Caenorhabditis elegans: one gene and its partners. The protein of the gene in region 2 interacts with the protein of the main gene of each other region in a pairwise test. Each region holds a gene or a part of one and is shown on either strand. Other genes may lie near its edges. The genes, in order: lntl-1, cah-2 and srx-137.

What was found.
Region 1: the proteins of cah-2 (region 2) and lntl-1 interact in a two-hybrid assay, tested with the Caenorhabditis elegans proteins (one large-scale study listed by BioGRID).
Region 3: the proteins of cah-2 (region 2) and srx-137 interact in a two-hybrid assay, tested with the Caenorhabditis elegans proteins (one large-scale study listed by BioGRID).

Annotation. Positions count from the first base shown.
Region 1 is NC_003282.8:5,797,446-5,811,178, reverse strand, and holds lntl-1 (LIN-24 (Twenty-four) Like), read left to right. Parts: upstream 1-4,085; 5' UTR 4,086-4,206; coding exon 4,207-4,213; intron 4,214-4,392; exon of another isoform or gene 4,393-4,414; intron 4,415-4,779; exon of another isoform or gene 4,780-4,800; intron 4,801-5,108; exon of another isoform or gene 5,109-5,129; intron 5,130-5,209; exon of another isoform or gene 5,210-5,230; intron 5,231-5,697; coding exon 5,698-5,798; intron 5,799-6,571; exon of another isoform or gene 6,572-6,593; intron 6,594-7,106; coding exon 7,107-7,223; intron 7,224-7,478; exon of another isoform or gene 7,479-7,499; intron 7,500-7,573; exon of another isoform or gene 7,574-7,594; intron 7,595-7,944; exon of another isoform or gene 7,945-8,087; intron 8,088-8,348; exon of another isoform or gene 8,349-8,373; intron 8,374-8,460; coding exon 8,461-8,547; intron 8,548-8,807; exon of another isoform or gene 8,808-8,831; intron 8,832-8,851; coding exon 8,852-9,178; intron 9,179-9,715; exon of another isoform or gene 9,716-9,736; intron 9,737-9,794; coding exon 9,795-9,849; exon of another isoform or gene 9,850-10,168; coding exon 10,169-10,281; intron 10,282-10,286; exon of another isoform or gene 10,287-10,307; intron 10,308-10,408; and 5 more. Other genes in the region: C31H1.1 (DUF148 domain-containing protein), read right to left, coding at 11,022-11,102, 11,147-11,217, 11,318-11,560, 11,606-11,745, 11,856-12,442, 12,486-12,680, 12,949-13,330, 13,490-13,543 and 1 more.
Region 2 is NC_003280.10:7,476,513-7,486,761, reverse strand, and holds cah-2 (Putative carbonic anhydrase-like protein 2), read left to right. Parts: upstream 1-3,652; 5' UTR 3,653-3,670; coding exon 3,671-3,716; intron 3,717-4,220; coding exon 4,221-4,357; intron 4,358-4,420; coding exon 4,421-4,543; intron 4,544-4,598; coding exon 4,599-4,775; intron 4,776-4,817; coding exon 4,818-4,884; intron 4,885-5,235; coding exon 5,236-5,390; intron 5,391-5,444; coding exon 5,445-5,576; intron 5,577-5,623; coding exon 5,624-5,713; intron 5,714-5,758; coding exon 5,759-5,845; 3' UTR 5,846-6,011; downstream 6,012-10,249. Other genes in the region: ubc-6 (UBC core domain-containing protein), read right to left, coding at 6,254-6,432, 6,480-6,817, 6,865-6,970, 7,023-7,107, 7,162-7,367, 7,457-7,487; aka-1 (FYVE-type domain-containing protein), read left to right, coding at 8,230-8,436, 8,488-8,757, 8,807-9,652, 9,702-9,872, 9,917-10,080, 10,126-10,249.
Region 3 is NC_003283.11:13,857,373-13,867,050, reverse strand, and holds srx-137 (7TM GPCR serpentine receptor class x (Srx) domain-containing protein), read right to left. Parts: upstream 4,247-9,678; coding exon 4,202-4,246; intron 4,153-4,201; coding exon 3,759-4,152; intron 3,612-3,758; coding exon 3,448-3,611; intron 3,326-3,447; exon of another isoform or gene 3,323-3,325; coding exon 3,126-3,322; intron 3,071-3,125; coding exon 2,941-3,070; 3' UTR 2,852-2,940; downstream 1-2,851. Other genes in the region: nhr-175 (Nuclear Hormone Receptor family), read right to left, coding at 108-345; srx-135 (7TM GPCR serpentine receptor class x (Srx) domain-containing protein), read right to left, coding at 5,730-5,856, 5,906-6,036, 6,357-6,422, 6,618-6,781, 6,832-6,984, 7,331-7,571, 7,706-7,750; srx-136 (7TM GPCR serpentine receptor class x (Srx) domain-containing protein), read right to left, coding at 8,109-8,226, 8,578-8,777, 8,825-8,988, 9,111-9,263, 9,315-9,603.

The DNA of each region.
Region 1 (13,733 bases), on a different chromosome or scaffold from region 2:
TTGGAATCATGACATATGTTGGATTTATTTACTTTTTGGATGTTTTTTTATAAAGATCAATTCGAAGAATTTTGATTATTGTGTTTCCAGTAGATTTTGACATGCCTTCTTAAAGACGCTAGGGTTTATCCAGATGGGTCTCGACGCGTAGAAAAGTTTATGGTAGTTTTTTTTATTTATTTTTTGCGTCGAGTTTTATGGTTTTCTTCTTTATTTCAGAAAGGTACCCTTGCACTTTGTCCTCCAAAATATGGCAGTAGCTTGTTTTCAAAAAATATGAAAGTTTTTATGATTTGCAATATTTAGGTCTACTGACAAGATGACTTTTTGAAATCCCTTGGATTGAGAAAAAATCAACAAAATAAGGGTTAAAATGATGTTCTGACACAATTTTCTAGAAAATTTTCTCGAAAAAATTTTACTGTTTCACATATTCCAAAAAATGAATACAAGTATTTTTCAAACATTCCACAGGTCAATTTTGCATTTGAAAATTGTGCATCTGAATAATAAGCACGTGTATTAAGAAAGTTTCCCTTGTCGATTGACCTCCAAAATATGCGGGAAACTTATGTTAAACAATATGACATCATCAGAAGAGGCTTCAGGATTTTTGGTGGATTTCCAAATTAGAACCCTTATGAATTACATTAGGCTGAAACAAATTAACGAAAACAGCGCTGAAAATTGTGTTCTGGACCTTTGTTTTGGAAAATTTTCTTGAAATTTTTTTACTGTTTCACATACTTTTAACAAACAATGTGGGTATTTTTCAAACATTGATGTTCACATTTTTGCCTTTTTATTTCAAAATAATTGCAATCAAATTCAATTCAAAACGTTTTTAAACGATTATACATGTGTTCTGAAAAGTCATGATTTCAAATAAAAATATTTTCAACAGATTCCAGCAATGGATGGATACATTTTTAATGCTTGAATTGCAGTGGTTTATTGCATTTATAATGAACTTTTTCAATATACATTGCACACTATTTTAAACGTCCCCTTTTGAAAAACCTTAAGAACTGCAGTAGATTAACCTTCGTATCTATTCAATCCCTTTTCCAATTTTTCATCCAAAACTCTCAAATCTCTTCATCTTCTTCTTCTGATGCCCCATTCTTCATAATCCGCTAATTGACGTATCCTTTCCATTCCCTCCTCTTCTCTTACTAAATCCTAAAATTGTCTCTAATTTGTTGATCACTTCTTCTTCTTCTTCACCTTTTCCCCATGGGAGATTTCCCTTCCAAAAGCTTTTTCCTCTCCAGCATGAGCATAAATGTTATAATTGGCTCAATTGCTCTTTGGAGAGAAAGTAGATTTATGAGCCAACACAAATAAACGGAGCTTGACAGGTTTTCGACAAGCAGGTAGAAATGAGGACAGAGTGGGAATGAGGGGAGAACAGAAACATATATAGAATGTATTATTTCACACCGCATTCTATTACGCGTTCCCTTCTTTGGTTGTGAAGGAGAAAAAGCCGACATGTTTGCTTTGCTCAATTATTATTATTATGATTGTTGCCGGCCGAGTGGTAGAATATATTTGAAATGAAAATTCCCGATATGTGGTCCCTTGTTTGAAGATTTGACATTGACAGGCAGCATTAACATCGGCAGAAAAATTTTACCGTTTCATAAGTTCAGTAAACATGCAAATGATTTGATTCTAACTGATAGGACAGTGGAACGAACGATAAATCTTTTATTTTGGAGTTTAAGCTCTTTGAAAAAAAACGTATACTGAGCATGAAAGTAGCTCTCAATCCTTGAACTGTTATATAAATACTCGGTATTTATTTGGAACAACTTTCAAATATCAAAACGCTTAGGAGTTTTTTGGTTGATTAATAGAATGAAAGTTAAAAAAAAAAAAAACATTCACTTTTTTTGAAAACAGTTTCAGGTTCTTGATAAATTTTGTGGTGGTTTATCATTCTGTTTAGAATTTTAGTTGACTATGGTATATTTATTAAATGTCTGAAACATAACATTTATTCAAAACGTAATTTATAAGTTGTTCCCGATACTGGATCACATATTGAAAATCTAAATTTTTTTTGGTGACGTTGAAATGGAATTTGTTGAAAAATTTTACCGTTTCACTATTTTATCATAAAATTTTTTATGAAAATCTATGAGATTGTTTTACTACTAATAAACATTTTAAAGTTGAAATTTAAAATGACAACTGTTCGATAGAGAATGCGAAAATAATTGACTAAAATTGAAATATTGGTATCTTTCTAAAATATTTCTTAGTAAATTGATAAACGAACGACGTCACTGATTTTTGTATAAAAAACTATTAAATAAAATGTTTCAGGTTTTTGATAAAATTCAGGATGGTTAGGCCAACTATTTTTTCAGTGTTTAACATGACAGTTTTCAGGTTCTTGATATATGCCAATGTCGCTAATCAAATGATTGTCTATGGATGTTGTCAAATGTCAAAAAAAACTTCAAATGAAACTCCAAAGGTGTTCCTGATGTTGGGTCATTTTTTTGTGAGTCTGAAATATCCTGGCGCCACTGAAACAAAAAATTGGTCGAAAAAATTACCGTTTCACTATTTTCATAAATATGTTTAAATTAATTTGGGCCATAATTTTCACTTTTTTCTAGTAGAAATGTTCTTGATATTTTTGATTGAAACCCTTCCAAGACATGATAGGTCACTTTTCAGTAACCATTTAATGAGCTACACACGTTAAGAAATTTTTTTTGAAGAATACGTTTGAAATGTAAATTAAAAAATGGATAACTTTTCGATGCTTTTAGGCATTATTGAAATAAAACGTTGGTTAAAGTTTTTGACCGTTTTATAAATTTCATGAATACGCTTCATTTTTTCAAAGCTTGAATAATCTTTCCACTATTTTTTCACTCTTTTTTTTTGGTTTTTCGTATTTTTGTTTTAAAATTTTCACATTGTTTTGCAAAGTTATCACATATCATGTTTCAGTTTCTTTATAAATTTCAGGGAGGTTCTGAAGATATTACTTTTAACTTTTTTCAGGATTGCGTGTTCGTTGGTGTCCTTGTCCCATTCCATGTTTCCGTCGTTGTGTTCTGACTCATAAATTTCACGGTTTTTTGGGTGTGTGGTGACAGTAAAAAGTGTGAAGGGATAGATTGTAAAAAAAAATTCCTCGCAAATATAGTTTAGAAGGTTTCAGAAAGTTTTCAAAAAAACACATTCAAAAATTCAAATGTTTCATAAAGTGGTTGAATGAACTTTTAAACTATAAAAATTAAAACTCAAACCTTTCCGGAAAGAGCTTAAAATACATCTTGTTCGCCGTGTTCTCCTAATTTTTTCAGGACTTGTGGGACGTAAGACCTATAATATATGAAAACAAAACGACAATTTATAAAAACCAATTTTTGTAATAATTTTTCATTGATAAATAAAAACAATGTAGTATGTCAAAAATCTTACAATTGAACTAAAGATTACGAAAATCGATTTTTCGGTAAAAAACTTTGGCCAAACTCGAATGAAGGAAATTCCCCAAACTATTATTTGCTTACCAATACATATTTTTAAATATATATTAGAAACGTATTAGAAACATATGAAAAGTGTTTACAAGAAATTATCAAACTTGGCATTTGTTTTAATGGTTTTAGTTTAACATCTGAAACAGCAAAAAAAATTCCGAAAATAGTTCGAATTGTTTTTTTTCCGTTCTCAATCGCTGATGGATTCACTTTAGCTAATATTTCAGAAATTATTTTAAATACAAAACGACTTGTTGTTGAGCATTACTCATTATGATTACAAAAATCGAATTATTTTCTCAAAAATTACTTCAATTATATTCTAATTTTGAAACAGTAAAAAAAAATACGAAAATTATATTCACTTAGCTTTTCGAATATTGGTTAAAGTATGTATTAGTAATTCCTCTTTTTTACTATTAATTTTTTAAAAATACATCTCAATCAATTCTACAGGGAAAATAAAAACATCGCCCCCTCGAGCAGCTTGAATCCCTGGAAAAATGAAAATAAGTAAGAGAAGAAGAGGCAAAGAAGTCATCGACGATTGGCTGGCAGGCATACAAAGTAGGCGGAGTCGTCATGTGAAACCCGGCGGAGGGCTTCGATTCACAGAGACTCCTCCTGTTTGTGTGTCCCCCGATTGCCCGTCTGAATCATCGAATTTTTTTTGGAAATCAATTTCGATAAAAAAATGTTTAGTAAGTTTGTTGATTTTAAATTTAAAATTTTTTTTATGTGAATTAAGCGCACAGTGTCTGCATTCATTGAAATTTTAACCAAAAAATGTTTTATTTGGAGCAGAACTTTTTTTAACGTCTCAACTAACCTAAATATATAATACTCAATTGGTGTAATTTTCTTTTATTCAACTGCAGAAACTTTTTACATCAACTACTCAATATGTTAAATAAAACCTACGAGTTTTTATAAACATCATGAAACAGTGGATAGTGTAATCATGAATCATCATTGGAATTTCAAAAAATTGATTTAAAAAGTGATTTGTGTGTCTCTATTCTCTCTCGGCATGAGCTTATAAATTCAATTGTTTGTGAGAGGGCAAACCGAACCGCGTTGCAATTGTACCGTGCCAAATCCCTCGCAATATTTCTTTGCGTCTCTTCTTTCTTATACTCTCTCTCTCTCTCTGTGTCGTTTTCTATCAGAGTACAGTAATCTGATTTATAAACAACGTTAAACAAAAGTGGAAGTGAAGAGGAAGGTTTTGAAGTTTTCAAAATGTTCTTGAAATTTTTCGGCCAGTCGATCCCACACATCGAGATGATTGAATTAATTTCAAAAAATAAAATGATATTCTATGAATGAAACTGTAATTTTTTTTCGAAAAATTTCACATTATGATGTCTTCTAGGAAAGTTGGAAAATTTCACAACAGTATTGCTGGCTTTAACTTTAAAACAAAAAAAACCGTGAAAAAAACTAAACAAACAGTATAGGTTAAAATGAGCAGAGCTTTTCATAAGAAACGCAAAAATTTTTGCTATGATGAGTGATGAAAGTGAGTTGCTTTTTATAATACATTTTCTACAGTTTCAGAAAAAATTCAATTACCATAACAACAATTTTAAATGTTTGGAAACAAATATTTGAAAAACGTTGAAAAAAGTGAGCGGAATTTAAAAAAATTTCTGTTTCACTGAAATTTTATTTCATTTGCTGAGAAAAATATATATTACCGTACTATTTTCAAAAGCTTTAGTAAGAAATATAAGTTCTCCCTTCTCTCAAATAGGAAACTTTCACTTACTTCTTCTTCTTTACCTGAATACCTGCCTAATTGTAGCCTTCACCTTTCTCTCTCTCTCCAGTCCCAGTTCTAATTATTCCGAAATTCTCTCCTTTTCCATGTTTCACATATACATTTCCGATTTTGTTTCCCACGTTTTCATGTGCCTGAATCCTCTGAACTAGAGATTCTGAGACGCAGAGAAAAATAAACGTGGATTACGGTAGTTGAGGGGAGCCAGAGAAGAGCGGCGACGTTTTTCCGTCTTCTCGTGCATTCTAGTGAAATAGCGCTCAAAAAATTTAGACGCAGAATTGCAACGCGCAATTTACTATTGATTCGGTTGAAAAATGAAGAGAGAAGAGAGACTCAGAATATTTTGAAATATGTTTCTGACTCATCTATTCTGAAAACTTAATGATCAATAAATTCCAGGTTGCATATCTCCACAGAAATCACCGGCTTTTAGTCCAGAACAGGAGAAAATGCTGAAATCGAACAGAGCAAATGAGCCACAAAGCTTTGTGAAAGGAAATGTAAGTATTTGAATTTAATTCTTAATTTGAAAATATATATTAAAAATAGCGAAACCTAAAATTTCTTCACAGTTTCAGCGATTTTTTAAGCTTTCATTAATTCATGCATATATTTTTTTCTTTAAGTGAACGGAAGAATACAGCTTGTGCTGAAAATTTGAACACTTGAAATGTGTTATAAATATTGTATCAACACTATTTAATTAAAGTTTATAACTTTGTGAAGATAGTTTTTATTTTTTACGTATACTTTTGTGGGATTCTGTAAACAAGCGAATTTGTGTTATTCGAAATTAATTTACAGTTTCAACATTTTTTCATAAGTTTTGTATTTTTGAGGTGTATATTTTTATCTTTGCAGTTTTAAAAGTTATGTTCTTCAAAATATGAAAAACGTGAAATACCTCAATATTAAAAGGATCATTTAATTAATTATTTTTAACTGATTGAACATGAAATTATTGCTCATCTGAACATAACAATTCAATTTTGATCCGTATTCTTGCAAAAAATATAATCTCTAAGCTGAAATAGTCACCGAATACACAGATTGTTTGATATTTTTCCAAGAGTGTTTGCATTTTTTTCATGAGCCTAGTTATTTTATGAGCACATTTAAAGTTTACGAATTCATTATTTTTTGTTCGCTCGCTTTATCAGCAAAAATATATGCCGCAAAATGTGTAAAAATACATTGACAGAATTTCAAATTTACAACTTTTTTGTACTGTCTCAACAAGTTTTTATCATAATATGATAATCAGTTTCATTGATTCACGGATGCAATTTGTGATAAAATTAATTTTAAACATATATTAAGAGCCCAAAAGCAGTTTGGAATTCGATTTTTAAGGTTTTGAGAAATCGTTCTCTTAAAAAAATCATTCAATTTTTGTTGCAAATAAGAAAAAAAATACTCAAAAAATTTTTTAATCTATTAAACATGAAATATTGTTAATTTGCTAAATTATCAAGTTTTACATTTTTCTACAGTTTCAACATATTTTGATAATAATTTTATTTTTTGTAAGTTTACATTTTGCTCCTTTTTTCGAATTCTCTGCGATTCTAATGAAAGAGCAAAAGTTAAAAATGTTCAGGAATGTTAATTCTGTTAGAAACACCTGTAAGAAATGAACCTTTATAAAAATTAAATGGACTGTTTCATCAAGTTTTGTATACATTTTGATTTCAGAAACTACCGCTTTAACCCATTTGAATTCTTAATTTTCAATTTAATGAAAAGTTTTGAAAAAAAAATTTTATAGCATGTATTGCACCCTATAAAAACAAATTGAGTTTTTCCAGGACGCCGCAAAATCCGACCTGATAGATTTGGAAGAAGTTGTTACCAATTGGGCAAAGACAATGTTTGATGTGACAAAAAGCAAAGCGGAGGGAAAAATCAAGAAGAAATATTTATCGGTGAGCATTTCCATTCATTATGCTCAGTTTGTCACCATCGATCCAATTACGGAAAGAGGAAATTGGCACCTCCGTTAGGAAATTGAGCATGAAAATTGATAGGTTGTGCCTTTGGGAGGTCCCATGTGTGTGTTTAATCCGTTCAAAGTGAAAAGGGGGTAATGAATTGAAGAATGCTCATGCGGGATAAGAGAAATTGAAAAGGGAAAGAGAGAAAGAAAGAATGACAAAAATCACCCAAGGGAACCGACATATGGTTTCATTTATTTGAATACAATGAGGTCCCGCCAAAGTGAATAAATTGATATAGAGAATGGGAAATAGGATGTATTACTAAAATCTGAAGGGAAGAATCTTGTGAAGCAATTTCAACATTTTCCTGGCTGAAGTACAAAGCTGATGAAAACATGTTGAAACAGTAATAATAATTTTTAAAACTTCTTTAATTTTTCTGTATAAACTTATTCTCGTTGTGCTATAAAACTCAAAAAAAAAGTACCCAGCAAAAGGAAATTGTCAGGGTTTTCACCGAATTATCGGCAGTTTTCTACAATTTTTTTTGAACAGTTTTCTAGAACTTAAAGCTGGCTGGAGAGGCGCCAAAAATATTTGTTGTTGATATATATTTTTAATGGTAAAAAATGGACTGTAATGATTGAATATAATTTTGAAAAAAAAAATCAAATTAAAATATTTATGATTGAATAAAAAAATGACAAAAAATCATTTTCAACATGGTTTTAAAACTTCATATTTGTTTTGACTCCAATAACGAGATAAATTAATCTGCAAACTTTTCCTAGCGTTTTCGAAAACGAACAAAAATCAGAATCAACTATTACTCTCATCTTCACCAACTTCTCAAAAACCTCATCATCAACAATGCTCCCAAAGTGTAAATGTAAATGAAGTCGGCACGAAGGTGTCAAAGGCTCAGGGTGTGTGTATAGGAACAACAGTCACACATACCACCCGCTTTCTTGATTTACGAGTTACACACCTTGAGGGTATAGAATTCCTAGCGAGAAAGAATATTTTGAGGGAAATGCGAAACAGTATTTAAAAAATACAACTGGAGTATGTTTCATGGTGGTTTTGAAACGTTTTAACTACAACGAGAGTTACTTAATAAACATCTAGTCTTTGAATCACTTTTCACAATTCTAGTTATAATTTTAAGAAAGTTGTTTTAAAGAACTCGCATGGGCATTTCCGTATAATCCCAACAATTTTTCAGTACAATATCAACTGGACAAAACTGTTTCAAGAATGCTCGGAGCCAACATACACAATCCTTGGAGCAAAGCCGAATGTTGTCGATGCAGTTAGTTATTTTTAAATTAAAAATATTACATTTAAAGTTTTATACTGGAATAGGTTTGGCATATCATTAATTTTTGAATCAAAACTTTTAGAAAAATTTACTGTCGATAAAAATATACAAATTTCAGTATGTGCGTTTCAAAGTTTCCTGAACAAAAAATAACTTCCATATTATTGAGAAATTTGATTTTAAAATTTAAAAAAAAGAAAAATTTTACTGTTTCTAATGAAAAATATTGAAATAGCGGTTATTAGAAATTTTATTCACATCTCTCTCAACCTCAACAAGAATATTCAATTTTCAGAAACAAGATGAGAAAGTGATTTTCAAAACGACATTCACGAATACAACTCAACGCGAGCAAGAATATTCGTTCAAAACGGAACGATGCACTCGCAGCTCTTCAACTGTAATCATCGAAAAGGGAGTTTGCCGTGGAGCAGAAGTTTCACTGAAACTGAAAACTCCTTGTGAAGTTGTGGAAGCAAATGCTGGATTTACTACAGAAGTTATGTTGAATCATATTGGAGAAAATACTTCTGAAGAAGAATTGACATGGGGTGTTGATAGTTGTGTTAAGGTGCCACCAGGTGCAGAAACTGTTGCTGAACTCGTGATTATTGAAGATATTGTAAGTTTTTAAATTGTTTGAATGAGATGGAATCAAATTTAAACCTTCAAACTACTTTTTCAGTAATTAGAAATGTTCTAAAAGGATTTTTAAAAAATTGGTTGCAAAAATTGAATGATGAATCCATTTTCGAGATAGAAAATTTTTATGAAAACTTACATCAGCTGAACAGATTAAATTTTTATATGGAAAGCTCTCATCGATGAATAGTTCCTATTTGAAATTTTCAGCAATGAAAACCTCTTTGATACTGTTTCAATTAGCTCATAGAAAGTAATGATTTTCAAAAGCTTAATTTTTTACAGATATAGAAATTTGAATTGAAAAATAATAAGGCAAGTGAAATTGCAACAAAAAAAAACGGTAATTAGGTATTTTACTGACTAAAATTTAAAGGAATGCAACTGTTTAGAAACTCTAAGTATGTAATGTCTAATGTAAGATTTCTTGAATCAAATTAAAATTCCTACTACATATTCACAATGTTTTGCCGTTTCAAACAGTTAATAAATTATTATGCTTTCCGAGAAGTTTTGATAAGTTTGTGTTAGTCAAGTCACTAAACTTTAAAAAACTTTATACGACCCCATCATCCGTCAAAAACCCTTTTTTCCAGGTAACTCGCGATTTCCGCATCGAAAACCGTCTGAGTGGCAAAGTTTTGGTGACAAGTGAGTTCTTTCCTTTTTCATGCAAATTTAACACATTTTCATTGAATTGGCAAGAGAATGAATGAATAAATTGTCAAGGGTCCTTGACTATTCAACTGTTTCACTTCCACTTCTAGTGCTACACCACTAATAAACGGAAACAACATTTTGAAATTATTCAATGGAAGAAAATATATGAAGGTGTGTAAAAACAGGGAAAAATTAAACTTCCAATTTGAAAAGCTTGAATAGAAAAAAGAACAGAAAAACTATTTCACTACCAGGTAACCAGGCAATATACCCACAAATAATTTCCCTTGTAATCGAATTTAATTTTCAGTAACCAACTTGAAAGAAAACAACAGTTTGGTCACAATTATCGAAGGAAATATCTGTGATATCATCCGAGGAATGCCTGATTACACAGCTAAAGGATTCCGCTTTGATGGACCTGTAAGTATATCGAATCGAATAGCTCACTAAGATTTCAAATTTTTTCGCCTACTTTGTCTACAATATGAAAAAGTATAGAGTTCATTAAAAAAAAACTTTGATACATATGACGGATTGACCAATTTTTTATATCAAAATCTTTAATATATCAAATTCTTTAATTTATATCAAAATCTTTAATAGTAGGTTTGAAACAGCGGATAATTTATTTTGTATTACACAATTTTTAAGTTCTATTATACAATGACAAGTCACTTTTTTTCTTGGAACACCTTTTATTTCCAGGCTGCCATCTACGAGACCCGCGGCCAGTGCATCTTCCGTTTCGGAATTGAGCAAAAAGTCCGAATCAACGAATTTTCACTCAACTCGTCTCGTCGGTACTAACAAGTACTTCTCACTATGAATCAATATAATTTATCTTTTTCCACTGGCTTCTCTGCTTTACTTCTTTTCACAAATCCATTTATTTCCCCTCTGATATAATAATTTCCGGTAATGAAAAATAAGCATTCGATTATTCGATTTATGAAGTTAACTATCATAAACAAGGTTCTATTATACTTATCAACAGTTTGAAACAGTAGATTTTGTAACAAAGCGTTAAAATTGTATTATGTTCTGCGGGTATCATTGTTTGAAACAGATTGCCAAAAAAATGACTCCAACTCTAAAACTTTACTGATACTATAAAAATAAATAAAAATGCATTGAATACAAAAAGTCGAATAGAAAAAAATTTAATGGGCAGGAGACTTTGGTTGAGAAGTGTAAGTCTCTTCAAGACTATATGAGCTGGTGGAGACAGCGGTCATCAGGTCCTGAAATTAATTTATTTGCAAGGATAACTACCGTATTCGCTTACACTAAGAGCAACTCCGCATTTCTGAGCCGAGTTTTGAAGAGCATCAAACAAATGAGAAGCTTGAGTTTCAGCTGGAAAGAAAATTAAAAAGTTGGTCAATAAGATAGTGAAACGGTTTTCCCAATGTGCTGAGATTTTTAAAAACTAGAAGAAACAGTAAATAATACTAACCAACATCCTTTGCAGTATGAAGTGCATCCTCAACTATCTCACCAAGAGAAACACTAGAAAAATTGAAAGAAGCCGAATCCGTACGAGTTCCAGTGGCAGATTGGAGCATTGATTTCTCATCAAACGATCTTGGTGGAACACTGACAACTGAGCTACCGTTTGAAAAGGCAGTCTTCATGGAATTGGTTGAATAGTTCTTGCACGGAATCTCAGACATATTGTCCGGCATGGAACTGGTGGAGACTAAAAGTTTAAAGTAAGAAATAGGATTAAAAATGTGCAACTAACGAGAAGAAAGTGTCGAGTGGCCAGAGGACGAGCGAAGCTCATACGAAGACAAGGACATTTGCTCGCGAAGTGACTGCACACTGGAGTGACCATCCGAGTAGGTAGACCATTGAGAAATGTTTGAAGCAGAATCCCAAGATCTAAAATTGAAAACGGCATTGATGGAATTGGATGGAATATTATAAGATTTAATTTTGAAACAGAATTTTTTTATATTTTAAAAATTAATTTTAGCATCAAAAAAAATTACCCGCACTCATAAACTCCTTTCGGACCTTCAACAGCTTTACGAATACTTGCACTGCGAATGGCATCGTCTAAATCATTAAGACTCGAGTCATCAGTTGACAATCCAGAGAGAGCAAACGAGGAGCTATCAAATACATCCAAATGATTTCCTTTACTAGAAACAACTGATGTACTCATCCAGGAATCACTGTTCAGGCTGCTCATTGATTCTTGTGCATCCCAGTTGCTCATCACACGCATCAAATGACGAGTCAGAAGCTCAAACTTGTACTTCCCATCATAATTGTGGTTTTGAACAATCTTTTCGATAGTGTGATTGAAATCAAGGCGTTCATTCTTGTTGAAAGGAAGCTCGTGAATCAAATTGACAAGGCTATTGACTGCCTGTTGCACACGATGATCTTCTTGCTCAAAAACAGTCAGAGGCCCAACATCAACCTTCCCGATATCCAGGAATTGACGGATTTTAGCAACACGTTTCTCATTCTCTGATATCATATTGATGGTCTTCTCATTGATTTCGTAGATTCTCTCGTGATCACGAACAAACTTTTCCACCTTCTCCTTGTCACGGAACTTGTCGACAATCTGTAAAATATTCTTATCATCGGGAAAACTTTAATTCTCTCACCTTGGCGTCCATATCAAGAAGCTTCTTTTCCAACTTTTCCAGCTCATCTACTGTTCCACCAACAGTTTCTTCCAGGCAATCAACGAGCTCATCATGATGTCCCCAAGTACGTTTTCCATTTTGCAGCAACTCAGCAAGTTTGGATGTTTGCTTGACAACTGTTTCAGTTGTATTTTCCACAGTTTGCTCGAGGATCTAAAAAACTGATAGATAAACCTTTCAGCATCTTGCTTATCAGAAAGACGTGCCTGACACATGCCTGCCTGCGAGCATTTTTAAATTATCAGGTTGACATTGAGGCAGGCAGGCAGGCATGATTGTGTCTGTGTGCACTTCTTCTGACAATACAACATTTTGAATGCGGAAAAATTCAAATGCATTTTTCTTGGACAATTGTTAATTGGATTTAATAATTTTGGAGATTGACGTCTCTTTATAGAAAATGTAAGCTGCAACAACTTACCGTATCCAGTTCCAGAATTCCTTCCATTTGCTTACCGAGGCACAATCTCATTTCCCGATTCTCAGTAGTTTCAACCAAAGAGCTCAATATTTGTGACGATGGAGCCAGAGATGCCAACGAGTTTCCATGGATGGTTTCCGAATACTCACTAGTCATGCTCGATGAGGATGACATCTTGAAATCTTTCGAAAATTCTGAACCATGATTTGGTGGGATGGAAGCGGTGTTGGCAGAAATCGATGAAGGAATAGTTAGAGGTTTCGAAGAAATTGTAGTGGGAATTGATTGGGTAGATTTTCCACTAGTGAACGAATCAATTCTCTTCCAGTGAGATCCAAGACTGCTGCTGTTGGCTGACATAATAGATTCCGATGGAAGAGTTCTGTAATATTAATTTGCAGAACTATTTATAATGATGTTTTAAAAATGGCAAAGGCATGGTTCGAACCAAATCACATTCATATGGTTTTGTTATAATAGCACCGTGAAACAGTCGTTTTTTGTTTAAAAATTTTTTGGAATTGCCTTCTTCATCCCTTACCTGGACTCAAATCCTGACTTGTCTCCGAGATACTCCGAAGGAATGATTGTTGAACTAAAACGAATATTTATACTTTCAAAAAAATTTTCCCAAAAACTCACTGCAACTGTTGTTGCTGATGAAGATGATTGAAATTCAAACGAGGTCCGTAATTGAAATGATCTGTCATCGTGCGAAGAATTTCAAACGGAAGACTTTTTTGATGCACAACCGTTTCAAGAAAATTATTGAGAACTGATCGATT
Region 2 (10,249 bases):
ACCACTATTGTACCACTACAGTACCCCGATATATCCCTACACTAACCCCAACTCACTATCCCCACAGAAGCCAAAACTTCACAGACTACAAAGACTACATTGACTACAAACTATGGACACACAGAATAAGCGCTTTATATATAGTAAATGATTTCAAAAGTGGCTTCAAACAATTTTCCCATTTGCGATACGCCTTTAATCTTGATTAAATTTTAATATTATTTCTGATGACCACTTTTGTAGACGATTTTTGAATATTTCAGCTTGTTGCAATTCGAACCAGTTTATTTTTAAAACAAATCAATTATTGATGATCTTGCAATGTTTAAAGTCGGTCTCTATTCGAGCCATCGGTTGTGAGTTCCTTTTTTTATGTTTATCATATCAACCACCCTAGTCTTCCTTTCCAATTTATCATATTTTCTTGCTTTCCTCTCTCTATAACGCCCAAAACTTTATCAATTTGTCTACGTCTTCTACACATAGAGCTTCTTTTACTACAACCGATATATGAAAACTCATCTGATGGCCACAAAGGTCATTCAATCTCATCAGCACATCTTTTCTTTTTCCGCTTCTTCCCCCATTTATTGCCTGAAGAAACCCAATTAGAAAACGACGCGGAGTCGTCGTGAGAAACTGTCCCCATATACTCTCTGAAGCGCCTTTCATCATCATCTTTTCAATGTATTGAATATCTTTCCCCCAAAAAAAGAGCATCCTCCTTTCTTGGCTCTTTGAGCACTTTTCTTCCCGTAGTCCATCTCTTCATATACATACAAAAATTTGGAATGTAGTATTAATTTGAAAGAATAGTGACCCACACAAGTGAGTTACTCGTAAAGTTTATGGTTATTGGGTATCCGAAGAAGTGCAAGGCTTTCCTCGTTTTTTCTCTCTGTGTCTTGATGGCTTTTTATCAATGCACATGTTTGAGAATGTTAAAGTTTGAATTTATTTTTTTCATCTTTTAGACTTTTGTTCTGGAAAAATGTTTAAAAAGGGAATATCTTTTTCAATGAGGATTCCTGCAAAGACATTTCTGTATTTTTCGACGTTACACTTGAATAACCACATTAGACACAGTTAGTTCTCGACTCATGAACTCATCAAAAATTAACTGTGAAATAAAATTATTCAATTTTTTAAATTTTTTCCGAATAAATAGTTCCCATTGTCTTAAATTATATTTCAGTAAGTTTTGAATCTAGAACTGATTCCTAGGCAACACTTCACTTTTCCATATTCTTTACTGACCTCTACCCTTTTCTCGATGATTTATATTTGTTTCCTCGTCTTCTATTTTTCGTTTCAATTTTCCCCTTCGTTTTTTTTAAATATTTTCGAAATAGATACTTACAGAATGCGAAAAAAATTAATATTCTTCTACCTCACGACTGGATTTCTTATAACATCAAACGCAGTTCAATATCCATGGACATTTGACCCCGAATTATTTGGTGGTAAGTCATTTATATGCTTTTCTACGGTTTAGCTGTAACTTTTTTGTTGGAAAAAGAAAAAAAAACTGACACATAAACACAATTGAGGTCTCTCTCTTCTCTTTTTTGCTCACAAAATTCAAATTTCCGTCTCAACCGCGCGGCGAGAATTCACTTTACGCGTTTCTTTTTTGTCACTTTTTTCCAGACTCTCTTTCCGATCACGATAGTCTGACGACATGAAAAGGTGTTCTCATCGTTTATTTTGCAAAGAAAAACTAAAATAACACTGGAATAAGCTTTGTGTAGTATCTGAAAAATAATAGTTTTGTTTTTGAAGAAAATATTTCCGCACCATGTTTCTAAGGTTTCCTTTCGTCAGGAGTCAAGAATGATTGATTCAAATTCATAAACATTTTTTGTTCTAAATTTTGCCTGAAAAATGCTCAATAAATAACTTATTTTAAAGGATTAAAACCAATAAAGATATTCTCACTGTTTCAAATAAATTTTAAAACTCACCAGCTGTAGAAAATTGCCGGTCTTCAAAAGCAATTTTAATCTTATTTGAAGTTATAAAAATTTGTATTTTTGCTAAATAACTTCTAATAGAGAGGTTCTCAGTGCTTCGTCGGACATTTAGAGATTTCATCGAACATTTCTTGTCTTTTTCTCTTTAATCTTCCCACTATTTTCATTTGATGATCCTCCCGAAATCAAAAGAATTATTCATCAATTTACTGGATACGAGTTTCCCACGATTTGTCTATGGGCTCACACAATCTTTTTCGCCTACTCTCGCACCTCCGTCCCACATATTCAAGAGAGTATCAAACGGCAACATTTTTGTTATTTTCTTTCATCAAGCTCTTTCTTTTTCTTATCCACATTTTTCAGCTCATTCTCATGCATTTTTGGCACATTCTCGACTGACCCCGAAAAAGCCACTCTCTACCACTTTTGAATAGTGCTTTTGCACTAATAAAACTGCAGTTTCCTGAACGGAATACCTGGCAAATTGTGGGTCACAGCGGGGCGGTGAAGCAACGCCTTGCCGTTTCTAATCGGACTCCGTCTCGCGGCAGTAAATGTTTTGGCCCAATCTAATTTCTAACCAATTCGGCCCTCCCAGTCGTCATCCTGCGAAGAAAATACACGTTTTTGTTATGTTACACAGCAGTTTTGTTGAAAAAGAAAATATTTTCTTTGAGAAAAGGAGGATAAGTGTATGATATATAACTCGAATAATTGGCTCCATCAGTTATAACTAACTTTCTTCATTTTCCATATTTCTTTTCATCGTTTCACTTCATTTTCGGAGCATCCCCTTGCTCAATAAATTTTTACAAAAATTATCAATATTAAATAAAAAGCTTGAAGAGTTAAAATTTTCTAGCATCAGCCCAAGCTTAAAATATTGAAAAGAAGTAATAAAATTTAATTTTTTTCACAAAATGAAAAATAACATTATTTGTAATAAATGTGCTCCCATTTTTGACACCTTATCATAATAGGTTGCGTAGTACTTTAAACATTATCCACTAGACATCTAGTAAGGTATCTAACTATAAGACTTAGAATTTGATAAGTTTCAAAATTGTGCACCATATACCTGACAGTCCGTGCATTTTAGATTTTTTAACCATTATCTTTTTTGATTACTCTGTGTTGAATATGTATTTTACTATACCTCCAAGGTTCAGCAAAAAGCCCACACAGAAAATTTTCCTGACACTTGTTTTCTAATTTCGTGTCCAAAGATTTCCGGTCATCTTGTTTCAATTGCGTGCCCTTCTCCTCTCGTTTACTACTGATTCAAATATGCAAAATTGCTCGCCATGTCTCTGCGCTTCTTCACAAGCCACATTTCCGGCAATGAACACATCTAAAGGTGCTCCGTGAGCTGGCAATCTGAGTGTTTCATCTTCTTAACCAGTCCCACCTCATCATGTACTCCACCGAAAAAAGTGCACCCAATCAATCTTCCTTGTCTTTTTTTGGGGCTGAGCTCTCTTTTCGCTATTCGTACTACTCGTGAATGTACATTTTTGTCGTTTTCGACACCAATTAGCCGACAAACTCGTAAATAATTCTGAGACGAACAAGTACCGTGTCAGTTGTCACTGGCAACTTTCAGAGACTCTCTTTCTCTGCACTTTTTCTCTTTTTTCTTTGTTCTCTTTTGCTCATTCCCACTACCTTCATTCCAGAAGATTCCGCAGAATATTATGATACCATGGCTCTTGACAGCCTGTATATATCCTTGTGTTATAGGTAAGAAATCTGACTTCCCCGTGATTTAAAATCTGGAAGTTGAAATACACAAACTTCAAATATTCTGTTTATGACAACAATCATATTCATTATGTCTTACTATAATTTAGGGTTATGATTCACTAATCACGTATATAATTGAATACTCCTAGGTATTACACCTATAGTTAAAGTTTTGAAAATAGTTCAGCAGCTTACAAGCTGATGCATTTAACTTTCAAAAGTGGATTAGTTCCACTCACTCATAAATTCGACCAAAAAGTGTTTCCTATTAATTTTTAGTTTTAAAAATGTTTTAATTATTTGTATTTGAACATTTTGAAGATCCTGCGATACTGTTCTAAACTTTTCGAAAGTCAAAATATTACGTAAATTTGGCAGTTTACCAAAACTTTGCCAACAAAAGTTCCAAATTATTTTTTTTAATCTTTAAGCATAGAAGAATAGTTATAAATACATAAATACCATGACTGGTTTATATTTTCAACAATTCAATATTTTCAGGTCCCGACTTCTGGGGATTATTACACGGTGACTGGAGAATGTGTACAGCTGGTCAAATGCAATCACCAGTAAACATTGATCCTTCCCAACTTTTATATGATCCACATCTAATGCCTATAAACATTGAGGGAAATATTGTAAGTTCGTTTTCTATGCTTTCTGATTATGAGTTTCCCGTATAATTTTGTTCATTTTTCCAGGTGGAAGCAGTTTTCGAAAATACCGGACAACTTCCTGTGGTCACAGTTAAAGATCTACCAAATCGGCCAACAATCAATATAACAGGAGGACCAACAATGCCTTATCGTTATAAACTCCATCAGGTACCCTTTATTCGAAAAGGAATTTTTAGACCACGAGCAAATAAATTTAATTCAGATAAGCGTACACTTTGGAAGAGCAGATGAAGGAGAGAAAGGATCAGAGCATACTGTAGACAGAGTTCGATTTCCGGCGGAAATTCAGCTACTAGCATATAATAGTGCACTTTATCCAAATTTCAGTGTTGCAATGACATCACCAAGAGGGCTTCTTGCAGTTTCTGTAATTGTTGATGTAAGTACTTATACTTTTTCTAAAGTCAAAATTTGTATTTAGATTGGAAAGACTACATCTGTGGAGTTACGAAGATTAACGGTTGCGTCACAGAGCATTAACTATAAAGGTGCGTGTTTTTTCAATGGTACAGAAAGTATATAATTGAAAATGAAAAACTCAAAATCTTCACTCAAAATACCGGATGACCGGTTTACAGTGTAAGATCCTTTTTGTTTGGCATCTGGAACATGGTGCAACCATATTTTTAGAGTTTGTTCTACATGAATACTATTTCAATCTTGGTGTGAAAAATATAACTGCTAAATTTGGAACGGAAAAAAAAAGACAAGGTGGTCTGGGACCCACTGGAAAAAACCTGTGCCTTTAGCATTGCCTTACCAAATTACGATAACAAGAAATATTTCATAAAATCAAACGGCATTTTCAAACTGCGTTAAAATTTAGATTCATTTTTCAGGCCAGACTACAAATCTCACTGATTTTCAACCATCTGCACTTTTACCAAAAACCTCTCACTATGTGACATACGAAGGATCTTTAACTTTTCCCGGATGTCATGAAACTGTCACTTGGGTTATTTTAAATAATCCAATTTATATAACCAATGATGATGTAAGTCATAAATGAATCTAATGCAAAGGGCTGAAATAAATTGAAACATTTCAGCTTCAAATTTGGAATGAAATGCAAAAAACAGAAACAAAACAACCAGAACCATCATATATGACTCCTGCATATCGTCCATTGAAATCGTTAAATGGCCGTCTCGTTAGAACAAATATAAATGTTGGATCAAAAGTGAGAAAACTTGGTCTTCCAAATCTTTAATATAGTTAATTGTTCAGCAGTCTACTGTATCTTCAAGTTGTCCATCGAATGTTTACGTGGAAATGGGGTACCAAGCGAATCCTGGTAGAAATAAGCGGAATGATTCGGTAAGATACACGTCGCAGATAAATTTTAATATTTTATTTCAACAGGTTTCTCGAAGATATGTTCCAACATCGGAAGTTTTCGAAATCGATAGCATTCGTCCTGATGATGTTTCCAAAGCCGGTTCATTTTAGTAAATTACTGTACATTCTCTACTCTTCTTTCACTTTGAAAAACTTCGCGTTCTTGCTCATTCTTTCTCCGAAAGATTTAACTATTGATCTGTGTATTTCTGTATTTAATGACACTTTGGAACTATAAAATACGGGTTCGATTTTAAATGAAGTGTTTGACTCTCTTTCTGTAGAATTTTGTGATATTTTTTGACTGAACAAATAGTTAAAACCAATTTTATGAATAAAAAAGAACTCAAGAAATAAGAATCACAAAGAAAGATACTCAAATATTTTGTGATAATTTCATTAGAATCTAAATACTAACTGAGAGGAGAGAGCCAAGAAATAACTGGCAAGTGATTGCACGAAGTTTGATTTTAGAAAATGGAAAAAGTACAACGGGATTGAATAATATTATACATGTATTTACAACTCGGAACCGTCTTTTGGTGAAGTTAGATTATCGACAAGGAAGCGACGAGCCAATAGTGTGAAGAAAATAGCGAAACACAAAGCGATAACTGGAATCTTGTATAGAAGGGTATAGTCAAAGTTTGTTGATGCCAAGCGGGGAGCGTGGTGTTGGAATACCAGAGGTTGTGGATCTGAAAATATAAATTATTTTCAAGACAAAATGTTTCAATTCAAGTACCTCGAATGGGTTGGACAGCAGGTTGTGCGACATCTGGTACTTCTGATGAATTGACATTAACAGTAGTACCTTCTTCTCTCTCATCTGCATCTTCTTCTGATTCTTCGACATTTTCTGTTGGGACCGAGCTTGTTTCTTCACTTGGCTCTGTTTCTGTCGGGTTCTTTTGATTGTTGGCTGCTTCAACTTCTTTTTTAACAACAGATTCATCTTGAAACTTGAGTTGGGCAGCAAGAGTTTTCGCTTCTTCGGTTTGTTTTAATTGTCCATCTTCAGTTATCGGAAGAAGCGCAGTTTTCATGACACATCCGCATTCTTTACATTTCCACTCACAGCTCCTATAAATACGCTACTTGATTAAAAACAAATAAAAAATGAGACTCACAATTTGGCTAAACGCTGGCGCTCTTTGGGAGGATAATCCAAACTACCAAGCGCGCCTCCTGGGGTACTTGGCAGGAATCCAATCAACGCGAGAAGAGCTGTACGAACTGCAAAATGTATTAAAAAGTCTTAAAATGAATAGACCATTGTAAAACTTACTGCTCCAAGATGGTAGCCACGTTTCTGGGTGATATCCCGAAATCGAAAGGCATACTTTCTTATTTAGCTCAAATCGTCCATTAGGCTGTAATGAAAAATTGTGTAGACTATGTAATTGCAAGGAATAAACTGAACATACCGTAAGAAGTATCAAATTTGGCGGTTTCATCGGGTAATCTGCTGGAAATATAATTCTACCATGATAAATTCCGCCTTCAAAGTCAGTCCCGAGAGTACCACGAATCGTGAAGTGCCATTCAAAAAGATTGTCTTCCATTGGTTGTGCATGATACATTTCCGTTGGCTGTCGCAGTTCCATGGCTTCCTTCATGAGCCTCCGCACACCTGTAACGGAAAACATTTTAATCGGTTTATCAGAACTTTTGTTTAAAACAAACTCGTTTGTTTTAGTTGCTAAATTTGAAAAGACTCACCGGCATTTTTAGTGTTGTACTGCTCACTCATTTTATTCTCTAAATTCTCGTACTTTCAGTCAAATGACAATAAATGAAGACGGAAATGAGAAAAAAACTGGAAAACCGAAACCAACGTCAGCGAGACCCGAAGAACTCGGGGGATGTCCAATTGGGGGTATTACCAACTCGGGGGATTGGCCCCGCCCACAGAACCGTGGCTTGCAATACGCCCATTTCTGCAACTGCCGCACGGTTTTAAAATCATTTTTTTCTTGTTAATTCTCGCTCTATTGAGAAAAATACAGTTTTAAAACCGTGCGGCAGTTGCAGAAATGGGCGTATTGCAAGCCACGGTTCTGTGGGCGGGCCAATCCCCCGAGTTGGTAATCCCCCCAGTTGGACATCCCCCGAGTTCTTCGGGTCTCACGTCAGCTGAAAAGAATGTTCACCGTCACGTCAAATTGCACACATTCTTTTTAGAAGACACCGTCACGCCAAATTGCGGACAACCGACCACTTGATCGCATTTTCTTTTCTCTCTTGTTGACAAGACTTCCGCGTCGTAAAAGTAGTCTTTACACGATTTTCTGTCCGTTTTTAATTCTGAAGAAATTCCTAAAACGCTATCCTTGCTTAAATCATATTTCTAAAACGCTGGATATTGATTTTCTCTTCGCAAAAACATTTTCCTCCGCATGAACTTTCATACGACAATTTTTTCGGTTTCATAATGATTTTAACATTGACTTGAATATCCGTGTTATTTTTTCAATAATATTCTTGCAGTCACAATGGAGGAAGTACCTGACATGGACGACCTTCTCGACGAAATGGAGTCAGACTTGGTCAAGAAATGTTGCAGTGTTCAATCAAAACCTCTCTTGCCACCAACATCGATAGGAATGCAACCACGTGGCATAAAACACAATCCGGCTCCAAGAACTGTCGTAACCGTTTCAAAATTTGTGATTAGTGAGGATATGAATGAACAGATGGAAGTAAGATCTCCCTGCACTTGTTTTATCTTACAATTACACATTTGTTTCCAGGGCAACATCAATATTGACACTTCACAGCTTCCAAACACATTTCAAACTAAATCAAGTTTTCCGCCTAATTCAGATGAAAGAAATATAGGAAAAGAGAATGAAGTTTCGGCACGTCAAGAAATTGCTCACAAGCTCAAATCTGTTCATAATTATTCCGACGCGACAAATTTCGATCCTTCCAAAAAAGTCATAACACAAAAATTTTCTCAAGAATCAGAACCAGAGTCTGAGCCAGAACCAGAACCTGAAGAAGTATCAGAAGTAGAAGAGGTATGTAATTTATTATAAACGGAAATAAATTATAAATATAATTTTTCAGGATACTCTTGTTCCGGAAACACAAATTATTTCAAATCTCAACGCCACTGCAAGAGACACGGAGCCTACTGCCACAATATCAAAACCAAATCTCGATTTAGATACCGAAATGGAAGATATGCTGGCATACCTAAATGACGAGAGCGTCGATAAGTCGAGTTTGAAAGATAAACCTGCGAGAGAGGAAGGAGGACGTGATTCCATCGAAGAGTCAGCAAATGAATCAGCACTTTATCAATTTGCTGATCGTTTCTCCGAACTGGTAATTTCCGAGGCTTTGAATCATCGGAAAATGCATTATGATCCTGCTGTTAAAGAATTTTACGAAGCAAATGATTCAGTGCCCGATGTATTTGCAATGAGTCTCGATAGTACTCATTCTTCTCTTAATTCTTTCAACGCAGATAATCACAATTATCTTTCTGAGCCGGAAAATTCTTCTAAGAAAGAACGAATGCAATCTGTAGCGGAAGAAAATGAAGCTAGTGAAGAACCGACACAAAGCTCTTCGGAAACAGAGAAGAACCTTCAAAACGAGAAAATCGATGTTGAATTTATTGAAAACTCTGAGGCGATTGTGCAAAATGAGTCAGAAGATGTTCCAGAGTCTAACTCAACCAGCGGAACTGTTCTTGAGAATATCGAAGACCATTTAGAATCTGATGTTGTAATCGAGAATGGTTCTGAATCTTCTTTTGTGAATGAGAAAATGAATGAAGCCTCGACTGCACATTTAGTTGCTGAGCAATCAGTCGTAGATGATTCGGAGATTCACTTGGAAACTGAAGATCAGGAAACATTGTCACCAGAAACTGCCGACTCATCAACAAATAAAAATTCAGATGAAGTTAGTCAAGAGTGTTTATTAAGTAGATTTAATTAATTACTTTTTACAGTTTCCCGATGAAGGTTCTCAATCAGAAGCATCAGTAAACAACGAAGAAGTGTTAGAAAATGTTGAACATGTTGAAGATGAATGCACAGTAGTAGATGCTGTCAATGAAAACACGGATTCCTCAATCGAGGAGAACGACGAGGAAAATACTGAGAATCGTCCACGCTTTGATGTTTGTACACAAATATACATCCAGAATAATTTCAATTGTTTCAGTCTTCCATAGCCACCATTCACGTTCTTCACGAGTCTGACTCAGACGAATCAGCAACGCCACGAAGAGAAAGGAGACTCACCGAATCAGAATTACAACTCGGAAAAACATCACCGTATTGGATTCCAGATTCTGAATGCCCAAATTGTATGCTGTGCAATACAAGGCAATAATTTATTAGGAATAGGCCTCTAGTTTGTATTTTTTTCAGGTTCACAATTATTACTAGACGCCATCACTGTCGTGCATGCGGACGCGTTCTCTGTGGTTCTTGTTGCAACGAAAAAGCTTTCCTGGAATATCTTCAAGAAGAAGGCAAAAAGCTGCAAGCTGTG
Region 3 (9,678 bases), on a different chromosome or scaffold from region 2:
TAAATGTATGTAGACTAAATCTTCAGTGATGATGCTCCACTTTTAATATTTAGGTAAACTTATTGCCAGAGTTTCCACCTAGCCGAGGCTGTTGGCTTTAAACTTACCGTAATTGATCAAACAATCTCCATCTTTCAAACATTTGTACTTCGATACATTGATGATTGCTCTGCGAAAAAACACAATACATCCCAAACATGCCGGCGATCCAAGACGAACACTATGCACCCGATCTCCACAAACTGCACAATTTTCAGACAATTCTGGAAACCATTCTGGTGATGGTGTCGATGGAGGGTAACTATAGGCAATTCCAGTTTTTTCAACTCGTGACACAACAATCATCAATTCTTAAAATGAACTGAAAATATTTATCGAATATTTACGATATGTTCAGAAGACTAATTTAAGAGAAAACAGGAAGGTGAAGGAAGAATGGACTTAACAAATAGGAAATGGGTTGAACGGACGTGAGGAAGATGGGCTTAGATCATTATCTGCACTGATCTCATCTCCGCGTGCATACTTTTGAAGGCGGATTGTAGCGCCCTTCGCATGTATTTGTGTGTAGATCGAACTCAGCTTACAAGGGCCAAGTGTTCAAAGCCAATTTTCAGAGATAAGAAATTCAAAGACACATCAAAGATAATCGTTTTAAACAAAGTTAACATTAAAATAAAATTCTTGCAAACCGGGACAAATGGCATTTGATGTTAAAAAAAAAAGAAAGCTCGAATAAAAACAAAATTATATTCCACGAGGGCGCAACTCAAATCTGGAAAACGAGAAAAAAACATAAACAAGAAGCCCCGGAACGCGATAAGATCTTAAAAATTTGCCAACTTTTCCGTATTGCAGCAGCTGGAAATTATTTATTAAATGAAATTGTTAAATAATTATAATTATCTTCTTTTAAATTACAAAAAACTAAATCCCGGCCGCTGCGACATTGAAAAGTTTTCCAAATTTTAACCGTCAATAAATTGTTCAAATAACTTAGAGCCGTTTCATTATGAAGTTTGGTTTTTAAAGATACTTTGAGTCTAACTGATAGTGAGAAATTACCCAAACTTCCCTACTACACTATTAATAAAAATGTATTATTGTTATAAGGAAGTTTCATTTTCTCCAAGAAGTTGGTCTTAGAAGTCAGAATGATAAAATGTTGGTTGATATTGTCAATTACAAGTTTTAAATAAAATATTCGTTGATGTGAAACAAAGCGACGCCTAAAAAAGGAAGAAAGCCGTCCAAAATGACCTATACCTTCAGGTGAGTGTCACTCCGGTGCGCAGATGGAAAATAAAGAGCGCTGCGACAAATATCTTTTTCAGAATCTCCGGTTAATACTGAAGGACATTGGAACTGATGTTCTACCGTGAGTCGGGCTAAAAAATTGAACGTTTCTGGAGTTATTAAAATAACAATGTTAAGTTTAGAAATATAAAAATTGAATGACCCAATTTACTTGGTTTTCAGTGCAAATGAGTTTTTTCCAGAATATATATTGTCCTTCAAAAACCTGCCATATCTATCAAACATCTATCAGAAACGCAAAAGTCTTCATAAATAGCCTTATAACTTACAGGGTCATCTTTTTTCTTGCACTTATAAAACATCTTACAGATGCGGTGGTGGTTTTGTGAGTAATAACTTCTTGAATTCAAAGTTTACTATTGGAAAATAGTATTACATTTCCTATTAGCTTTCATTCAGCCTTTTGGTGCATTAATTGAAAGCTCTGATCCAGTTGAAAAAGGTCAACATTATTTTCTGATTGGTCTGTTTGGACCTTGTAGTAATGATAAATCATCCCGAGTGTCCAACCTAATATCCACACAACCGCCCGACAGTCCCTTTGCGTGTTCTAATTCAAGAGATGGACTGTTGTGATATTAATGACATGCAGAATCTGGGAAACGGTGACCAAACTAGGTACTTCTCCGATTTATTCGCATTTTCCACCTATTTCTGGCGATTCACGAGGAAGATAGTAACATACGAAGGGATGAAACGGTATGCAAGAAGCGAAGATGAAATAATAAATTGGATAAAAGCGGAAGGATCACATTGCTGATACGAGGATCGTAATTTTTCAATAACTCGCCTATATTGAATTTTCAAGGATTCTTTGATAATCTTTCTTTTTGATTTCTGTCAACATTTGGTATTCAGAAATTTATACACTATGCATAATATCCATTGGTAATGTTTAATATTACAAATACACAAATTACGTGAGTCTAGATAAAATTATTTTCGGAAAACTTTTTGATAGATTTCTTCTGAAAATATTCGCTTTCTTCCGCGTAGTTTAAACATGTACCTAGCTTGAACCGTGACTTAATCTCTCATAAAAATCTTTGCTGTGCCAGAGGAATTTGTCTCATAATTAGAACAGGTTTGTTTAAGTGACTGTTTGTTTTTTAATCAATGTTTATACAAAAGTCAAGATAATAAATGTGCAAGTTTGCTTTTTTTTTTGGCTTAAATTACCAATTATTAAAATATCATGCAGAAACTTGAAAAAATCACAACCGATGCCCATTTCTACACATAACTTTTTTTTAGAAAGGCTTGGTCTTGTATGGTTTTAATTAATTGAATATTCATGTAGAATCTATATTTTAGAAACGTTTTCCGGTATTTTTGGAAACTTTATGTAGAGCCCACTAGATTTTTTCTACTTTTCGGAAGTTTCCAATACTTTCTCGGATATTTGAAATTCGAAATTTGTTCAGAACCTTCCCAACTTGTTGTAAATTCTCAATTTTAAGATGTTTACAGTTTTCCATAGCCTCCCAGTTTTGAATTTCTCCTGAAACTTGCAGTAGTTTCCAAATTCTTCTAAACTTTCTCGAACTTTATTAAATTTCCTGAAATTTCCAAAACCTCTACAATTATTATAATTTTCTTCAGTAAGCAAAATCACGTGAGCATTTATTTAGCTGCATTCATGGAATGATGTGAGGAGACAACAACGACTCCAGTTCTAGACGAATGACGGCCATTTGTTATCTGCCGGAACCACTTTGGTTGAACTTCCGGGTTAAAGTAAAGCATGACTATTCTGAAATAATTTTATCACATTAGTCAAATTTTGAAAGATCATGAGCAAAACTCACCCATCCGCGGCGTGTATTGCAAGAAACGAGTAGCACAGAAAGATATAACGGAACCAGACTTTGTCGCTGAGCTCGAATATAAAAATACTGTTTATTAGGTCTGTCAGATGCAGACAGTCCTGTATGACACATTGCACAAAGAGCCATAGACGCTTCTTTCTTCTTCGGGCAGCATCAGCTTGTCGCATTCCGGAACTCTATAAATATGGACTATGTGAATCGACATGGGAAAAATTAGAGCGATCGAAAACCAAAGTGTTGCTTCTCACACTGAGTGAGCTAAATCCTGAATCACTTCAAGTTTTCTCATGAAACTACATACCTGAGTACACAGGAACTTGATAGCAGTAAGTACATTAAAACTGTTAGAGGTGACAGCGAGGACAATGATTGACCAGAAAATAAGAGTTGTCATTTGATCAGCACATGTGGATTCTTCAACTCTCCATGAAAATATCTCGGGGTCATAGACGTAGGCGCACAGTTCTGAAATCGTATGAATGTAATTTTACGGTACAAATTAACATTGCCAAATTTATGTGTTATTAATTTCCGATTGGATTAAAATGGTTAAATCTAAATCCAAAAGCTCCAAAGAAGAAGCTTACTGAAATTCGATGTGTACTAACTTACTTCTTAAACCTAGCAAAGTATAGGTAATTGCTAGTCCAAGACATACAGCAATTGCAAAATATGTCACATAAGATCTTTTTGACTTATGCTGACGAAATGGGAAATAAATTACAAAAAACCGATTTGCTGCCATACACATTTGAATACTCGCGCCCAAAATATATGCACCACCACTTGCAATCTGTCCGATAAAAACATTTGGAAGATATGGAACTTTTGCATAAGTAAGAGAAAGAGCTGTCACTGGAGCAACCCAAAACAGAAATGCTCCACAAACGAAGATATCGGGGATAGTCTTTATAAGGCAAAATTTGTGGAAATCACTGAATTCTCCAGGCTTCCTGGCAAATTTCAAGAATATGTAGACACTAACCAGCACACCGATGAAACTTGTCTGAAAGTAAGAAATTTGGATTCTAACATTTATTGGAATTTATACTTACAATAACCATTGAAATTACAGCAATAATAGTGAAAAGATCCGCCATTGTGTTTTTTTTTCTGAATTGTATATGATTTTCGGAATTTACAGTTATGAGCACAAGGATTAGTTGGAGCAAAAACAAAGAAGTAGACTAATCATGAAATCTGTGATTCTTAAATTGTCTGGATTCTGGGAAAATTATTAGAGAATAGACATCTCATAGAACTTTGTTGTCAAACAATCGTGGGAAGTCACAACGAAAATGAATTAAGTTTTCCGGACACAAAAAGGGAAGAGGTTTTGTGAATGGCTAGAAGTTAGGGCTATCAAAGATTAAATCAAGGTAGCTTCGAAATTGTCTCTTAAGATTTATAAAATGTGAAACATTAGTTTAGACTTAAAATATGTGTGATCTTTATTGTTGTTTATGACGAAAATGAATAAAACCGAAAAATTTCATGAAAACTAATGGAATGCAGTGTGGCATTCACAATAATCTCGACTATACGAAGATTTATTGGTCTAATGAATTATTCAAGTATTTGCTAAAAGTTTTTGGCATTTAATGCGAAGCTTTAATTGAAACGAAATCCTATTATGCATCACAACAAAAACACGTTAAATTTTGCAGTTTTCGTACTAGATTTCTGCAATTAGTTTTCTCTTATCCACTTAAAAAATAATTTTTCATTTTTTTGAATTACAAACTTAAAATTAAATTTCAACGTTTTTTTTTGCAAATATTTCAAATTTTCTTCTGCGCTCGTGCCATACAAACCTATAAAAAACAACTGAGTACATAGATTGTGGTGTTCAAGTCTCAAACAAACTTTGAGAAATGCTTGAAGTGAGAATTTTTGCATTAGAATTCTCAGGTTAACAAAAAGTGATGTTACAAAGAAAAACCAAAAGAATACATATGCATCTTCTGAAAAAAGTGAAACTTCTAAGAAAACTTCTGAAATTAATAAAAATGACGCAATAACAGCACATTTGTAAGCCGTAACAAAAAATACCTACATAATCGTATATTAATCCAAATGACCACCCATGCTTGTTTCAATTATTTCACGCTTTCAGAACATTTTCGAGATCTCTTCATCCAGATCAGAACAAGATCTGTTTTCGTTTTTCTCCGGTTTTTATATTAAATTTCGATCATATAGTGGTTTGTCAATCTATGACATTTAAAATTCAGCAAAAACAGTAAACATTATTCAAAATTCACCTGCATCTTTAAAAATATGGGGCTTTGATTTTTTGTTTATCAATAAAAATCGCGGCACAATTAGATTTGTTATGTTATACATTAACACCTTTAGGGTCTTGCAAAGATGCCACATCATACATGGTATTAAACTGAGTAATCTTTTTCAGTCTTACAGACAATTCCAACACTTTAACATTCTTTGAGACTTAACAGCTGTAAAAAATTTAGAACATTTGTATTGAACTGATGTGAGTATTGTATTTCACCCGGATTCACGCAAATAACAATCACATAAAATTATTAAGTTCTAGCGAAAAAAATTTGAAAATGAGAATAATTATTCAACAGTTGTAATTTTCCTATCTCCCAAAAAAGTAGGCGTTGCAATTGTAGCTATCTTTGATGACGTCTTTCCTCTCAGAAAGTTGGGATGAACTTCAGGGTGAAAATAGAGCATCACAAAACTGAAATAAAGAGTTTTGTGTCTAAATACGCTGCTCCACGCTTGATTACCCGTCGAGTGCATGAATAAGAAGAAACGATATTGAAAGAAAAATGAACTGAAACCAAAGAGCATCGCTTAGTTTGAATATGAAGATGCTGTTGATGAGATCTATCACGTGAAGACAGTCTTGAATGACACTCTGAAAAAGAAACGATAATTTGGATGCAAGTGAAGCGAGCAAATTCGTGGTCAACGGTTCTGTCTGTGATTGTGAGCTCATTGGAATAAAGATTTTCTCCTTTTTTTGTTATTATCTGATATTGCTAATATTGTTTGTGTAAAGTTTTCAGAAACTAAATATAGAAAACATTGTGTTTGAATTTAAAAACTCTGAAAAAAAATTAAACACATTTTTCGACTTTCTCCAGTTATCTCATGAAAAAGCTAATTTTTTTTCGGGTCTTCGACTTTTGTAAAGATGTGCGTCTTAATTGTCTGTAAAGCCTGATATAAACTTACTTGTGTGAACATCAAAATCAACTTCTTTTTCCGTCGATGTGCATCGGCTTGATTCATTCCAGCAACCTAAAACTTCACTCAGTTGTTACATTTTAATTCAAATAAGTCTGATCTTTTGAAATTTTAATCTATGTTTTAGAAATGATGCATATTTTTGTAAATATGTACATCATTATACCCAAGTTCGTAATGAATTTGAACAACTCATTCGTAAAAATCGCTCATCTTGAACTAATAAAAAACAAATAATCAAAAGCTCACTTTTCCAATGGACAACTTGAATGCTGTGGCTACATTCAAACAATTGGTCCACGTGGCAATAGCAACCACTGAATAAAATATTAATGAAGACATCCCAGTTGCACAGGGTGTGTACTCTTTATCCCAAGTAAATGTAGCCGGATAGAACACAAATCCGCAATTTGCTAAATATAATTAAATTTATTACTGTAACTTTCCGATGGTAATGACTCACGTCTAAAGCCTAGGCATGTGTACAGAATAGCTACTGCAAAGGCTCCAATTATAGCAATTCCTGTTATTGGAAAGTCGCTTATACGTAGGTGTCTAGTTGCAAAGTACAATGCTGCAAATCTATTCAAAGACATGAATAGCTCCAGTATTGGTCCTGAAAAATTATGGAATTAATTTTAAAGTAGAAGAAGACTTCGTACATTTTATACAGAAGTTAGTTTGAATCATTGTTTTCTAGTTGATTTGATCAACATTATTTTTAATAGACAAGCTGAGTATGAGTATGCGTATGTTTCAGATTTTAAAGACTATAGTTTTAGCCATCAAAACAAAATTATTCTATAGTTTAGGGCACAAAAAAGACAATCACGACATTGTTTTGTGTGATTTATGAGTTCATTCCCCGTTTTTTAAAAACTCATTTTGTCGCTAATACATGTCTATTGTTTAATAGAGGATTTTAGTTATTTTGTATTCCAATTCTGAGACTAAAAACTCACCTGTGACATATGCGCCAAACCCGGCAGTTTGACCAACAAATACATTCAGTATTCTTGGAATATTTTCGTAATCTGGCTGAAATATTGACAAAGGTACAACCCATATGAGAAATGATGCACACACAATTGCATTTGGAATCGTTTTGACAAGGCACAGCTTATGAAAAGCACTTGCTCTACCTGCTTTGTTGGAAAATTTTTGAAAAAGATATGTGTTCACTGCGAGACCCATTGCACTGATCTGGAATTTGGAATTGGGTACGAAAATTCTATGTAATTTCGTAATACAGTTAGATGGCTGACAGACCAAGTTTCTGAGCCCCTTTCGTGGTTTTTTTTTTGATAACCTTTTTACTTTATACTTTCAAAACTTACCGTAAACATAGAAACAACTGCAATAACGTGAAATATGACCGACATCAACTTTGATTCCGGAATAAAAAGAAGTTGGTCTGGAACCAAATTTTCTTCCGTCATAAATTGTGAGTCAATAAACGAGCCAGATGAAATATCATTCTGGACAACTAGATTTCTTGTTCGTGGAGGGGTGTTAGGTAATTGGGTTTTGTCGCCGTTATTGCCTCCTTCTCAAGTACGTGCTAAAATAATCTGAAGCTGAGAAAAAATACTGGTCACGTGATGTGTACGCCGGCTCAAGTTTGTAATTATATGCTTGTTTTGGTACTTGAAATTACGGGTTTTACGATTTATAACCAACAAATACGAGAAAACAAAATGACTTTGAGCTATGATGAATTAAATTCAGAAAAAATACCAGTTAACTGAACGTAGATGGTTTTGACATTGCAACAACTAAAATTAATGATTTTTTCCTCATCGCCTTCCGCCACATCCATTTGGGATGAACTTCGCTGTGAAAGTAGAACATGACGAATCTAAAAGCCTTATTTCTTTTTCAGAAAATTATGCTTGACAAGGCTGGCAAAATAAAACTGAACGGTAGAGTCAAGTGGAGATATGTAGATTTATACAATAACAATAACAATTTCTCGTTAGTAAATTGGTATCAAATTTCAAATTTGATTCCACTTAATTTGTTATGGAGTTTTGTAGGCAGGACTTTTCGATTTTTCAAAGCTCTCCTAACGTGTAACAAAATGAACTGGCCAAACTTCAAAGATATTTCATGCAAATAAAACGATTTAAAAAGTCTAACTTCGACACATCGCATTTCAAGCTTGATTCCATATGGATATCCAATTTTTTTAAATGTAATTTTAACTCACCCATCGAAACAGTGAATTGAGGCAAAAGAAAAAGTGAGACAGAAGAACTGAAACCATATTGAATCTGGATATATTTGCCACGTGTATGTACTGTTAATCATGTCGAGGACATGTAGACAATCTTGAAGTACAGTTTGACAATATGTGACGAGGTATTTCTTTCGGCGGACTTTCGAATCAGCTGCACTCATGCCGCCAACCTAGAAGCAATACTAAATAAATTAGTTAAAAGTTCTGTATTATATACCTTATCAAAAAGTAATCTTCCCGCTGTTGCCAGGTTCATAGAGTTTGAAATCACGGCACATCCAAGAATGGAGTAAAGGAGAAGATCGTATTGAAATATTGCACACGGCGCTTCCTCGGAAAGCCATTCCAGTGTTTCAGGGAAGTATAAGAAGCCGCAATCTTCTGGAAGTTAAAAAGGTTAGACTGGAAATCGTTTATTGATATTTTGTATTCTGTTTTTTATATACTTGATTATTTTTGAGTGTTTAACATTTTTTATGTTTTATTAATTTCAAACGACATACTTGGTAGCCCAATCACTGTAAAAACGACAGCTATGATAAAAGCAACTCCAATTGAAATTGTTGTAATTGGATATCGATTTGCTTTCATTATTTGAATTGGGAAATACAGGGATGAAAATCTGTTTGATGACATGCCGACGTGAAGAAGTGGTCCTGCATTTAGAAGATTTTAATACGTACATTTAGTGATTTCAAAAAACTCACCAAATATATATGATCCGGCACCTGCCAACTGTCCGACAAAAACATTTGCATCTCTCGGCACTTTGTCATTTTTCACTCGAAAACTGCCCAGTGGAACAGCCCAAATTAAAAAACACGCGCAGACGACTATATTTGGAACGGTTTTGACTAAACAAAGTTTATAGAATCCGCTGATTACTCCTCGTCTTGTACTGAATTTGTAGAGTAAATAAGAATTTAGTATGGTTCCAGAAAAACTGATTATGAATAATAAAAAATTGGCAAAAATTATAAAAACCATTGTAATCATTATATTTTTTCTGGCTTTGAAAATAATACTTATTCCCCCACGTGGAAGGCAGATCAGGGCCAAGAGTTGAGTGAA